Linked DNA regions of Oryzias latipes. The protein of the gene in region 2 purifies or fractionates together with the protein of the main gene of each other region. This does not show direct contact. Links are inferred from orthologs where the notes say so. Each region holds a gene or a part of one and is shown on either strand. Other genes may lie near its edges.

Evidence for each region.
Region 1: the proteins of smurf1 (region 2) and smad6 purify together in Homo sapiens (affinity purification with western blotting; 4 studies listed by BioGRID). This does not show direct contact. The link is inferred for Oryzias latipes from reciprocal best matches to the Homo sapiens genes SMURF1 and SMAD6.
Region 3: the proteins of smurf1 (region 2) and stk38 purify together in Homo sapiens (affinity purification with western blotting; 3 studies listed by BioGRID, with this or other methods). This does not show direct contact. The link is inferred for Oryzias latipes from reciprocal best matches to the Homo sapiens genes SMURF1 and STK38.

The regions. Positions count from the first base shown.
Region 1 is NC_019864.2:16,417,202-16,421,600, forward strand, and holds the start of smad6 (mothers against decapentaplegic homolog 6), read right to left. Parts: upstream 2,908-4,399; 5' UTR 2,255-2,907; coding exon 1,465-2,254; intron 1-1,464. UniProt on the Homo sapiens protein: Transforming growth factor-beta superfamily receptors signaling occurs through the Smad family of intracellular mediators. SMAD6 is an inhibitory Smad (i-Smad) that negatively regulates signaling downstream of type I transforming growth factor-beta.
Region 2 is NC_019866.2:19,075,754-19,080,189, forward strand, and holds the start of smurf1 (E3 ubiquitin-protein ligase SMURF1), read left to right. Parts: upstream 1-1,554; 5' UTR 1,555-1,789; coding exon 1,790-1,844; intron 1,845-4,436. UniProt on the Homo sapiens protein: E3 ubiquitin-protein ligase that acts as a negative regulator of BMP signaling pathway. Mediates ubiquitination and degradation of SMAD1 and SMAD5, 2 receptor-regulated SMADs specific for the BMP pathway.
Region 3 is NC_019865.2:33,698,662-33,701,327, reverse strand, and holds the end of stk38 (serine/threonine-protein kinase 38), read right to left. Parts: intron 1,786-2,666; coding exon 1,691-1,785; intron 1,613-1,690; coding exon 1,476-1,612; 3' UTR 634-1,475; downstream 1-633. UniProt on the Homo sapiens protein: Serine/threonine-protein kinase that acts as a negative regulator of MAP3K1/2 signaling. Converts MAP3K2 from its phosphorylated form to its non-phosphorylated form and inhibits autophosphorylation of MAP3K2.

The DNA.
Region 1 (4,399 bases), on a different chromosome or scaffold from region 2:
CAAAAGGGCTTTTAAAGCGCAACTTGAAACTGATCTCATTCGAAAAGTATAATGCCTGGCAAATTAGGAAGGAGAAGTTTCTGTCCACTTCAGTACTTTAAGTACTTTGCCTGTTTTTTTGTTTTGTTTTTTAAGTCTCTGAGAGAGAAAAAACTTTAAAGGACAACTTTATTTTCATATACTCAAACAATAGAAAATAATGCTAAAATAAAGCACAAGATTAAACCTGAGGAATGAGTTTCTTTTGACTCAAAGCCTTTTCATTACCTGTGTAATAATTAGATATAAGTCTCTATGTTTTACATTCTGGTTTTGCAAAATCTAAACCAGTAATTAAAGTCTTTATTCATAGCCCCCCTTCTTTTTGAATAGCGTGAAAGAAATACCAGCTCTACTGAGCCACGCATGAGCGCATGTGAGCTATGTCTACTATGAGCCTCAGTCCCAGTGCAGGGAATGTGCCTCTCTCCTCACAATTCATCTTGGGGGTTTTAGTGGAAAGGAAACCTGCGCTTCACATGCAGATGTACCAAATGTTCAACAATTTACATGAAAAATGTTTTACTTATTTAAAAAATAACTTATGATAAAACTTTACTGTATTTGAGTCTGATCATTTCTGACGCCTGCTCCACTTTTGAGATCCAGTAACTCATCAATTTCCCAACTATATGAATTTTGATAGTGCTGAACTTGTGACTTTAAAATGTTTGCAACAGCCCGCTGGCTCTGGACAACGTGGATGTTATGGAAAATACGCCTTCAATGCCAGTGAGAAGACAGAAATACTGACGCTTGCATCTTTACACATGACACCAAGCCTTGTCAATGGGTCAGCGGGGTTGAGTGGCCCAGCGTTTAAACTAAATCGCAGGCCCCATCCGCAGCCAAGTTTTAATACGTTTAATACGGGTCAGGGAGTCTGTGTGTCTTGAGGAGCTCACTCCAACTCAATGGAGAGGAACTAACATCTGAATCTGGACAATCTTATCATATGGGGGTAAAAACTCAAAAAAAACAACTAAAAACATCTGAACTGACAATAGATATATAGATGATCTAAAGCTATAAGGTGACAAGGGTTATAAGGAGTGCTGGAAACGGACAAACACTTGGTTCTGATGCTGTAGGCCAAAGTCATGCTTTATTCTGTCATGGGAAGATTTTTAGGCCCTTAAAAAGTTTTCTGAGCCTCTTTTCAAATGTTTAAAAGCATACTATCAACCAGGCTGTCCTTGGTTAGTTTGGAGTTACTGTGCTTCATGTTGAAGGAAGGAAGATGATGATGCTTCTTCTAAAGTATGAGAGCAGATGAAACTCTAATCTGAGTGACAATACAGGTTTACAGCATAATTTAGGCCACATGCTTCTCATATCATGTAGACTAATAGAAAATTAAGTTGCAGGATCAACATTGGGGGGGTCAGTTTGATCATAAAGGATGTGTTGCAGGGGGGGTCTTACCTGGCCCACAGAGCCGGCTGTAGTGATAGGGATTGCAGCAAACAGTGGGGCAGTCCAGGGCCCCAAAGCTCTTGCACTCACAGAGTGGCTTGAGCTGAGCCGAGTGCTGGAGGTCAGCCCAGCGGTACACTTTACACACCAGCAGCGGTGGAGACGCCGCATGTCCACCAAACTTCAGCTCCGTCCCGGAAACCATGACACATTCGCTCGGCATCCCTCCTCTGGACTCCACTGCCTCCAGTAAAGTATCCAGCGCCTTCTCCTTTAGCCTTTTCAAAAGAGAATATGTGGCGGACTTCAGTTCTTGCTCCAACAGCACGCGGGGCATCGCCTCGTGCGCGTCAGGAGAGCCGCCGTCTCCTCCTCCAAGGTTCCTCAGCATGAAGTGGCACGACCCTGGATCCCTGTTACCCTGAGCCGTTTCCGGACCCCTAACCTCGAAGTGGTCCCGGTCTTTAAATAAGCAGCACGTCACCGTCCTGCACTCGCTGTCCTGAACAGAGCGGGGGCTCCCCTGTTCCTGGACGCACACTGCGCCCTCATCTTGGTCCGACGTGACGCCCGAGCCGCTGCTCTCCACGGGGCACACGCACCCCAAGTCTCTTCCAAAGGACCCACTCGGGGTCATCGGTCTGAACTCCGTTTTGGGAATTTTCTCCGGGTTGTTGCCGAACAGATCGTCCCGACAGCCCTCACTAGTTGTGCCATTTCCATCTCCCCCCTCTTTATCTGGGATCAAACGGCTTCTCCACAGTCGCCGCACAAGACCTGAGCGTTTCGTCCTGAACATACGACACCTCGAACTACTAGAAGGGGGGTTATTCGTGTACGGATAGACTACACACACTTTTACTGTCGTTGCAAATCATCAATGACACCGAACCGCCGTGCAGTGCATGCACAGCCAACCGATGAGCACTGACGGTGCATTAGAATAAAGGCGAGTTTGTTGCATCTACAACAACCGACCCGCGACGCAAACGTACTGCAGCATTCCAACTGACAGGCATGCGTTCAGCTGGGGCTACGGAGCGGCTGCAGACGCTGGCTTCTTGTCCAGGCGGAGTGGACCCTTCAGTGTGTTTGTTAAAAACACGCAACAACACAACACAACACGTCCAGTAACATAATCCCAACGAGCAGCCTTAAGATCAAGTCCATGACAGTTCCCCGAATTGTTGGATCTACTTTCTACACCGGCGCGCAGAGCGTGAGGCAGCCCACTTCAATCCAATTAAATCCAATGAAAATACAGCAGAAGTAAAAGATCCTTTCCGCTTTCTAAAGATGTTCTTTTTTTTCTTTTCTTTTTTTAAATCCCAGCCAAAGCCTCCATGAAAGCGGAAACTACACGAATCCGTGGCTGAAGCGCGCGCCTGCGTCTCTGCTCAGACCTGGACCAAACTGCAACCTAGATCCCTTTCTTTCTTTCTCCGTTTCTCGCTCTTTTTCTTTTCTCCCCACTCTACCTCTCTCTCTCTCTCTCTCTCTCTCTCTCTCTCTCTCTCTCTCTCTCTCTCTCTCTCTCTCTCTCTCACACACACACACACACTCACACAGACTGGCGCACACACACGGGGCCCCCGAGGAGAGCGGTGGAGCCATTGGCTGACTACCATCATGTGCTAGTCTAGACACTTTGGCGGCTGTGAGCTGCACTGATTGTTGCGCAAACAAGGTTTCAAGTTTCTTAACTCTTAAAGGCGAAACAGTCACCTCTCGGTTTTTGAAGCAAAAACTTTCTGAAACTTATTTGCATGCATGCAGGATCTGTGCTGTAAGGGGGCTCTCAGTCAGTCACTCCCATGCACATCTCAGTATTTTTACTGTTTATCCATCAGTTCTCAGCCGCACGGCTTTCAATGCAATTCTGTTTATTTCATTATCTAAATATATTTCTGGAGGATATGATTCTTTGTCAGATATAATGTGCTCCAGGGGGAGTTTCAATACTTAAGATGAAAAAGCTTAATTCATAAAATATTGAACGCAGCCTGACATTAAACACATTTATGACTTCTAATGATTTGCTGCACAAGTTGTTGGTGCCAAGTCCATCAGTTAACCTTTCCCAGTGGGATGCGTTGAAAAGCTTTTCTATTTTTATTTTGAATTAATAAATTATATATTATAATAACAAATGTTATAAATAAAATTAAAAACACATTGAAACATGTATGAAAATACAAGCCATTTTTAAGTATCAATTTTGAAATAATTCCATTTTGATACTTAACTTATGATGATTAATGCAATGTTAGGAGTTTAGAAGTTGCAAACCAGATATGGTAAATACATAAAAACAAAAAAACAAGTAAAATAGTAAAGGAAATCATAATAGGGGTCCATTGGAGTATATAGGTTTGTTTCCTCCCACCCCTTTTCATGCAATTAGTTTAACTGTTTCGACAAACTTTAAATGTAATGAATTCAATGTGTCATGTATTGTATGTTTAAACAGAACTGTGTCTAAGATTAGAATTAATTATAATGGCATTTAATTATCCTTCATTTAAATTTCCAATTGAATGATGATCAATCATCTTAAGTTTGATATACCTATGCCTAAATGAATACACCTTTTTTTTCTTCTTTAGTATTATTATTTGTTTGATTAATTGAATTGAAACAATTCCAGTACAATCCATCCTTATTTTGAAATAGTCTGGTATTTTTAGTTTTTGTGTGTATCTTAAAGGGCCTACACTATATTCTTAAGCCTTTTATAGTAAATAATATCCATGTATATGATTTCATATTAATTTTGGCACACAAAAGTATGCTTTTTTTAGTGAAATATGAGAATCAGAATCTTTTTATTATCATTGTACATGATGATACAATGAAATTGCAGCAGCTTTGGAGTGATATAGATAAATAAAATAAAATAGAAATACTGTACTCACATCAACAACAAAAAATGTACAATATGTAC
Region 2 (4,436 bases):
TCTGTAAAGCCTCTGCACGTGTTGGCTGGTAAACTGTGGGTTTGTGTCTGGATGTGTATGTGGCTCGGTTTTGTGGATTTACTGTGGCGTGTAAACAGGCAGTAGACAGGTTCCTTTGTTTCCTCGGCTAATATCAAAAGCGTGTTGCTCACCCTGGTGCTACTAAAGAGCCAAATCCCAGGAACCATAATCCCAGATGCTCTGCTCTCTCAATCTCAAGACACAAGTGCATTGCACATTCCTCACAAACGCAACAAATGCTCAATGCTTCCGATCTGCAAGTTTGCCTGTTGACCTTCTTTTTGTTTGGCTCTTCTCTCAAAACTGTTAAACTCAGATCTAAATGGGCTCTATTCTGAAAAAAGAATGAAAATGGTATATTTTCTTAATCTCCATGTCTTCAATATTAATACAAGTTTTTGTGTAATTTAAGGATTAAAATCATCACTAAATTTGTTTTTTTTCTTAACTGACTAGTGTTAGTCATAACAAAAATTACAACTGTGACTTACCATCCTAGACCCTCAAAGGGATTAAAAAGGTGATTATTTTTAATTAATTCTTAAGTAATACCTGTACATAAACTTTTCCACATTTGGAGTATCTGCTAAATTTCTAACAGTTGTGTTCGTATTTCAATAAAACGTACTTCTTCATAATCAGTTAGGATTTAAAAGGCTTCACGTTGGTGCAAGTGTAAATGTTGGGAAGACAAAAATAGTCAAATATGTTGATCTATACTGTAGCCTTCAAATAAAAAAAAGGGTTTGTGTGAGTGATTTTATAGATGTACACTTTTCTTCAAGCACATCAATTTAAATGCTTCAGTTTAGATAACAGGAATGAAGATTAAAGTTATGGTCCATATGACCCCTAAAGTCTCCTCCCATCCCATGATGAATGTTTTTGGTGATGTTTTTTTTATTTTTCTGTCTCACCTACAAACATGCAGAGAGAAACTCATCACTGGAAAGCTGTTTATAGACATAATATTCATGCTTTCACCCAAAGCTGTACGATCTCCTGCTCTCTAAAAAGAAGGGAATTTAAAAAGTTGTTTTCTAGCTTTTGCTTAAAGTGAACATTTTCAGAGCAACACGGGTAGATCAACTGTTCCTGTGTACATCCATGTTTTTTTATTACAAATATTTTAAATATTAGGATAAATAAATCAACTGAATTAATAGCAGTTAATTGATTATATGTGTTTGTTGAAAACAGTTTACTTGGAAAATGAATTAATGTCTATCTGTGAGGGAAATGTTGATATTAAATTCATTTGTATACTTTTAGGTCACTGTATGAAGGGAAAACCCCTCAAGATCCCTTAGTTCTTGTAGAGTTAAAACTAAATTGCTCTCAAAATATTGAGTAAAGTATTGTTTTTTATCATAGATTGTTTAATTGTTCTTTTCCCCTCTCTCTACTCTCGTGTTTTGTTTAAATAATAATAATAATAATTTATTAATTTTCGGAGAAGATTTGTTTTGAAAATCGTGAGAAATGTTTTGCTGGCGCGCGCACACTTGCTGGAGCGAGCACGTAGCGTCAAGAACATGACGTCAGCCGGCTACGTGCTTGAGCCTGCCTGAAAATGTTCTCCCGTGTTGTTGGATTTAGAAGGAGCGCAGGACTTTGCGGCGGAATTATGTCTTTTTATCCATGAAGAAAACAGCCCTCGTCTTCTTGTAGTGAAGTCTTTGCGGTCCCGCTCTTTCATGAAACTGTGATTTTTCCGGAGGGCTGTCTCCGAGGGGAAGTTTGACTGATCCTTTTTTCTCCCGAAGTGATGTCGAATCCTGGGAGTCGGAGGAACGGGTCCAGCATCAAAATTCGACTGACAGGTAAAAATACAAAGGAAATAATTACATGATGAATTGTTTGCAGTACCAGTTTTGTGGAAAAACTACCACCCCAGTCCACATATCTCTGCTGTGTTATGTGTAAGTAGTCAATCTGTCTCCTTTCGGTGCTTCTTTGCCCAAACATCCGGTTTTCTGTAGCAGGCTCAGCTAACTTGTTAGCAGCCATGCTAACAAAATTACCGTACGAGCAATTCATAAATTGACAGTTTTTGCTCGTTTTACGGCTGAGCGAAGTGAAAACGCCGCAATGACGAGCTGGTGAAACTGCAGCCTTTTACCAAGTCGTTGAAAAACTTAATTAGCTGCTCGGGCTAGTAGGATGCTAGCGCTAGCCTTTACAACACTGCAGTAAATGTTGACCACTCGTAACGCTCGCTAGCTACACCCATATTTGGAGGGTGGACAGACAACCGAGCCCCGTCGCTTCTGCTGAATCCTATGGGCTCTGTTACAAGAATGAGAGCTGACCTGCAGCCTCTCCAGACATTGATTTGTCTGTTAATATGACATGCTACCCTAGATTAACTGCAGCCATCGATCGTCTGGTGTTAGCTAGAGCTACACTCGCTGAACTTCTGCCTCCTCTGAAGTTTGTTCTTGAGGTATCTGAGATCTACTGTCAGGGTTAGAGCCTTCATTTACACTTTTTTTAAATTGATCTTTATAAATATTATTTTAGGCCAAAAAAGCTCCTATCCAGCAGATATTTTTAATATATTTGGTACCTATATAATAAATACAATAAAGACATGAAAAAGATAAGAAAATTAAAGCTCAAGATTGTGTAATCTATGGTTCATTTTAATGTTTTTAACTATGCAAAATTTTTAAGGGGCATTTTTATAATGTATAATGAATCCTTAGTTAAGAATTTATTACTTTTTGTGTGTTAACACACTAACATCACTGACTGGGACCGAATTGATCCTGATTATATTTTGGTTATTAAGGGAAATTATATTTGACAGGCAGCACCAAAGCAATACAATTTTTTCACGTTAAATGTCAAGGCCTTTAGATTTAGACTAAAACCTGACCAGCCTACTGATGGCAAATGTCAATTTATGACTTTATTTATGGATACTTATGTTTAATACAAATTTTAGTTTGAGACTATTGGATATATCTAAATATGTATGTATTATAGTTTGAGAACCACTGTTTTATTCTGTTAAAGACCCACTCCATTCATCTGTTGATCTATTTTCAAAGCATTCCCAGTGGTTTTTTAAATATGATTATGCCCATTTTAGTCAAAATCAAAAAACCTGTCGTTTTCTTTAGAGCTGCAGGGGTTCATTTGACATTTGCCTTTGTGTTGTGCCTAGGACTGTTGGCACAGAGTAAGCTCACCCCCACTTCCCGTCACCCATTTGTTTGCGCGCTCTCCCAGCCCCTTACATCCCCAACCTACCATTACTGGTGCAACAAAAATGGCGAGCAATATTGGAGCTATCCAGCTGTACAGTTTTGAGCCAGATGCCAGCTCAGACGAAGAAAAGAGAGCCATGCATGGATATTGTGGTCTATAAGTGGATTAATCAGAATGGAGCGGAGCAGGGAGACTGTTGCCTATCGACTGTAGCTTCTATGTCACAAGTCCAACCTCTGTCAAACTTTAAATTGTCTCTGACTCATTTTCTTTTCCACTCTATTTTACTCAGAATCAGACAAAACAGACATGTTTGATGGGAATTCTGCAGGGTAACCCTAAACTGGAAATGAACTTTTTTACTAATGTAGCAGAATGCCTGATTCAAAACTAAATAAGCACACACGCAAAACATCGTTGCCTTGTTATTTGAAATTTTATTTTTTATTTGAAGTGGTGCAGAAAAAACATTAGTGGAAATAAAGTGATTGCTGTTCCTGTGGAAGGTTTGCGATTCTCCTGAAGTGACATGGTGGTTTAAGTGGTTAGACACTTGCTGCACGTGTGTATTTCTATATCCTGTGTCTAAAGTCTGCATTCTAAGGGATTAGAGCAGATACATGCTGTCTACTAGAGCAAGTCTCACAAACCTGACCTACTTCTTCCCATAAAGCCTTTATATTTACTCCCCAAGGTGTCACTCATTCAAGCTGAATGTGAAAAAGAAAAGCCAGAATCTTTACAGTTGAGAGGATAGTTACAGTTAAGCTAAAAGTGATACAAAAATCAACAGAACCAAATATTTGTGTTTCACACATAAATTTAAAGTCAGCTTTAGATACAAAGATGGGGATTTTCAGTTAAAAAATGGCACATTGATCTGAGAATTTATGGTTGAATAAACTTCACAGCAATTTTACGATTTTCTTTCATGGAAACAAAACTTCACTTTTTTAGTTTTTGAAGTAAAAATTTCTTGTTTTATCAGCATTTCATTTTGTGGTGCCAATTTAAAACCAACTCTGGTTCACTTTAAGCGAAAAAAATGTGTCCAGTCTGAATACACCCAGAGGTTAAATTGAGTGTCTATTTTGTTGGTCCGTACAGAGTCCGCTTAGTCTGGTCCAGATAAAGTCCTGAACCGTGCATTTGGACTATATCTAGACTGACTTTACCCAGGGACTCATGTTCCGGATCAA
Region 3 (2,666 bases), on a different chromosome or scaffold from region 2:
TGCTGTTGGGACAAAGAACGCAATGAGTTCACCAGCAGATAAACTAGGTTCCCTGCTGGGTCCAGTTGGAGGTGGGGGGCTCCTGTCCCCCCCGGACATCACGGAGGACTGGTCTTTCCATCAGAAAAGGGATCGCACAGGAAAGATGAACTTCATGAACTCCACCTGCAGCTGCTGCAGACCTGAAGTGATGCACCAGCGCCCCCTGCTGTCACAAACATGCCAGGTCATTTCCAAGAAAAATAATGGATGTTCCTGCTATTGTTGTTCAGCACTAATCTGTCAGAATATAATCCTTATAAATCCCTACAATCCTTCAAGTTGTCATACTGAGCTGTGATTGGTTGGAATCTGCAGTGAAAATAATTTACTGCTCTGCATGTTTTAGGACAAAGTGGAAGTGGGTCTAGATGACCCAACTCCCAATGTTAAAGTGCCTAGGATAGCACAGGGGTTAATCACTTTGTCAAAGTTCATCCGTGATGCTCTGAGTGTTTTAGACTCAGAGAAGAAGTTAGTTTGAGATTCCAAACAAGTCAACAGAATAAATGCCCCCCCCGCACTGGGACGGCCAGGAGGGGCAGCCACTCCACGCCCACACATGGGACATGCACGTGAGTGAGGAGAGCACGCTTTAAGTGCAGAGTTCTTCATTGTCAAACAGCAGAAACATTACAGAGGTGTGCACTGCAGCAGCGGTTTAAATAAAATCACCCCCCCCCCCCCAACACACACAAACACACATTAAAATTAGAAATTAAAATTATGTTTAAAGTTAAAACCTTTTGAAGAAAAAGAAAAACAGAAATTTGCTGTTGCCGGGCAGAAAACCTGCTTCATTTTTAGCTGGTGATAATAAAGACAGCATTCTGGATGGTGTGTTCGTTGCTCCCAGGTAAGTCTCATGCTTTAAAGTCCTTTTCCTGTAAAAAAAAGTGTTTCTGTGGAACAAAGGTAACAGAACAGAAGCCTTGGAGTCCACAAGTGGGACACTGTTGACCCCAACCCCTGGGCCGTAGAAGCAGAGATTCAAGACGTTTGTGTGAAGAGGTTTAAGAAGCAACTGCCACTCAAAAGCTTCAGAAACAGAACATCACAATAGAAAGCAAAAACGGCCATCTTTTGGAATAAAAGCTGCTTTAAAACCTAAAACCAAAGAGAGTCCAGCGAGCCGGCCCGACTCCCATCAAGGTGCTGAGTGGGTCGCCATGAAGACGGAATCCTACTTTCATACTTTCAAAGGGCAAAGTGTGCAAAAGTTCTAGAAGTAGAGTCGTTTTCCTGAAGCGGGCAGAGGTCGGCTCTTTGGTGGGTCCTTCTGACCCGCTTTGGCCCACAGGGCAGAAGCACAGCCCCTCAAGGGTCCAGCAGAGCTGCTGCTTAAGGGGGAATGTCGGGATGCTGGTGCTGGGGGGCAAAACCCACAGAAAGAGGGCCAACACAGGGTCAGTGGTGGTGATGGGGGGGGCAGGAGCTTATCTCTTCCCAGACTTCATGTAGGACGGAATGGCCCCCCGCGCCGTCAGGCCCTCGAAGCGCTTGTAGGTGTAGTTGATGAAGACCCAGTCCTTGTTCTTCAGGTCAGCCTCGCTGTGATTAGAAACCGGAGAGGCTGCAAGACAGAACCAGAGCTGAAGCACAGTCCTACCACCAACACCAGCATTCACTCCCCTGGAGGGGGGAGGGGTACCTGTAGGGGTGAGGATGTCCGAGTCTGGGAACTCGTCAAAGTTGGAGGTGTCATCGATGCTTTTGATGTTGATGGGAATGGCTGCAGGCCTTTCTCTGAAAGCAGAGTGGAACCTCAGAGGATAGAAAGGAGACCCTCAGAGGAGGACAACCTCAGAGGAAGACAACCTCAGAGGAGGAGACCCTCAGAGGAGGACAACCTCAGAGGAGGAGACCCTCAGAGGAAGACAACCTCAGAGGAGGAGACCCTCAGAGGAGGACAACCTCAGAGGAGGACAACCTCAGAGGAGGAGACCCTCAGAGGAAGACAACCTCAGAGGAGGAGACCCTCAGAGGAGGAGACCCTCAGAGGAGGACAACCTCAGAGGAGGACAACCTCAGAGGAAGACAACCTCAGAGGAGGAGACCCTCAGAGGAGGAGACCCTCAGAGGAGGACAACCTCAGAGGAGGAGACCCTCAGAGGAGGACAACCTCAGAGGAGGACAACCTCAGAGGAAGACAACCTCAGAGGAGGAGACCCTCAGAGGAAGAGACCCTCAGAGGAGGAGACCCTCAGAGGAGGACAACCTCAGAGGAAGACAACCTCAGAGGAGGAGACCCTCAGAGGAAGACAACCTCAGAGGAGGAGACCCTCAGAGGAGGAGACCCTCAGAGGAGGACAACCTCAGAGGAGGAGACCCTCAGAGGAGGACAACCTCAGAGGAAGACAACCTCAGAGGAGGAGACCCTCAGAGGAGGAGACCCTCAGAGGAAGACAACCTCAGAGGAAGACAACCTCAGAGGAGGAGACCCTCAGAGGAAGACAACCTCAGAGGAGGAGACCCTCAGAGGAGGAGACCCTCAGAGGAAGACAACCTCAGAGGAGGAGACCCTCAGAGGAGGACAACCTCAGAGGAGGAGACCCTCAGAGGAGGACAACCTCAGAGGAAGACAACCTCAGAGGAGGAGACCCTCAGAGGAGGAGACCCTCAGAGGA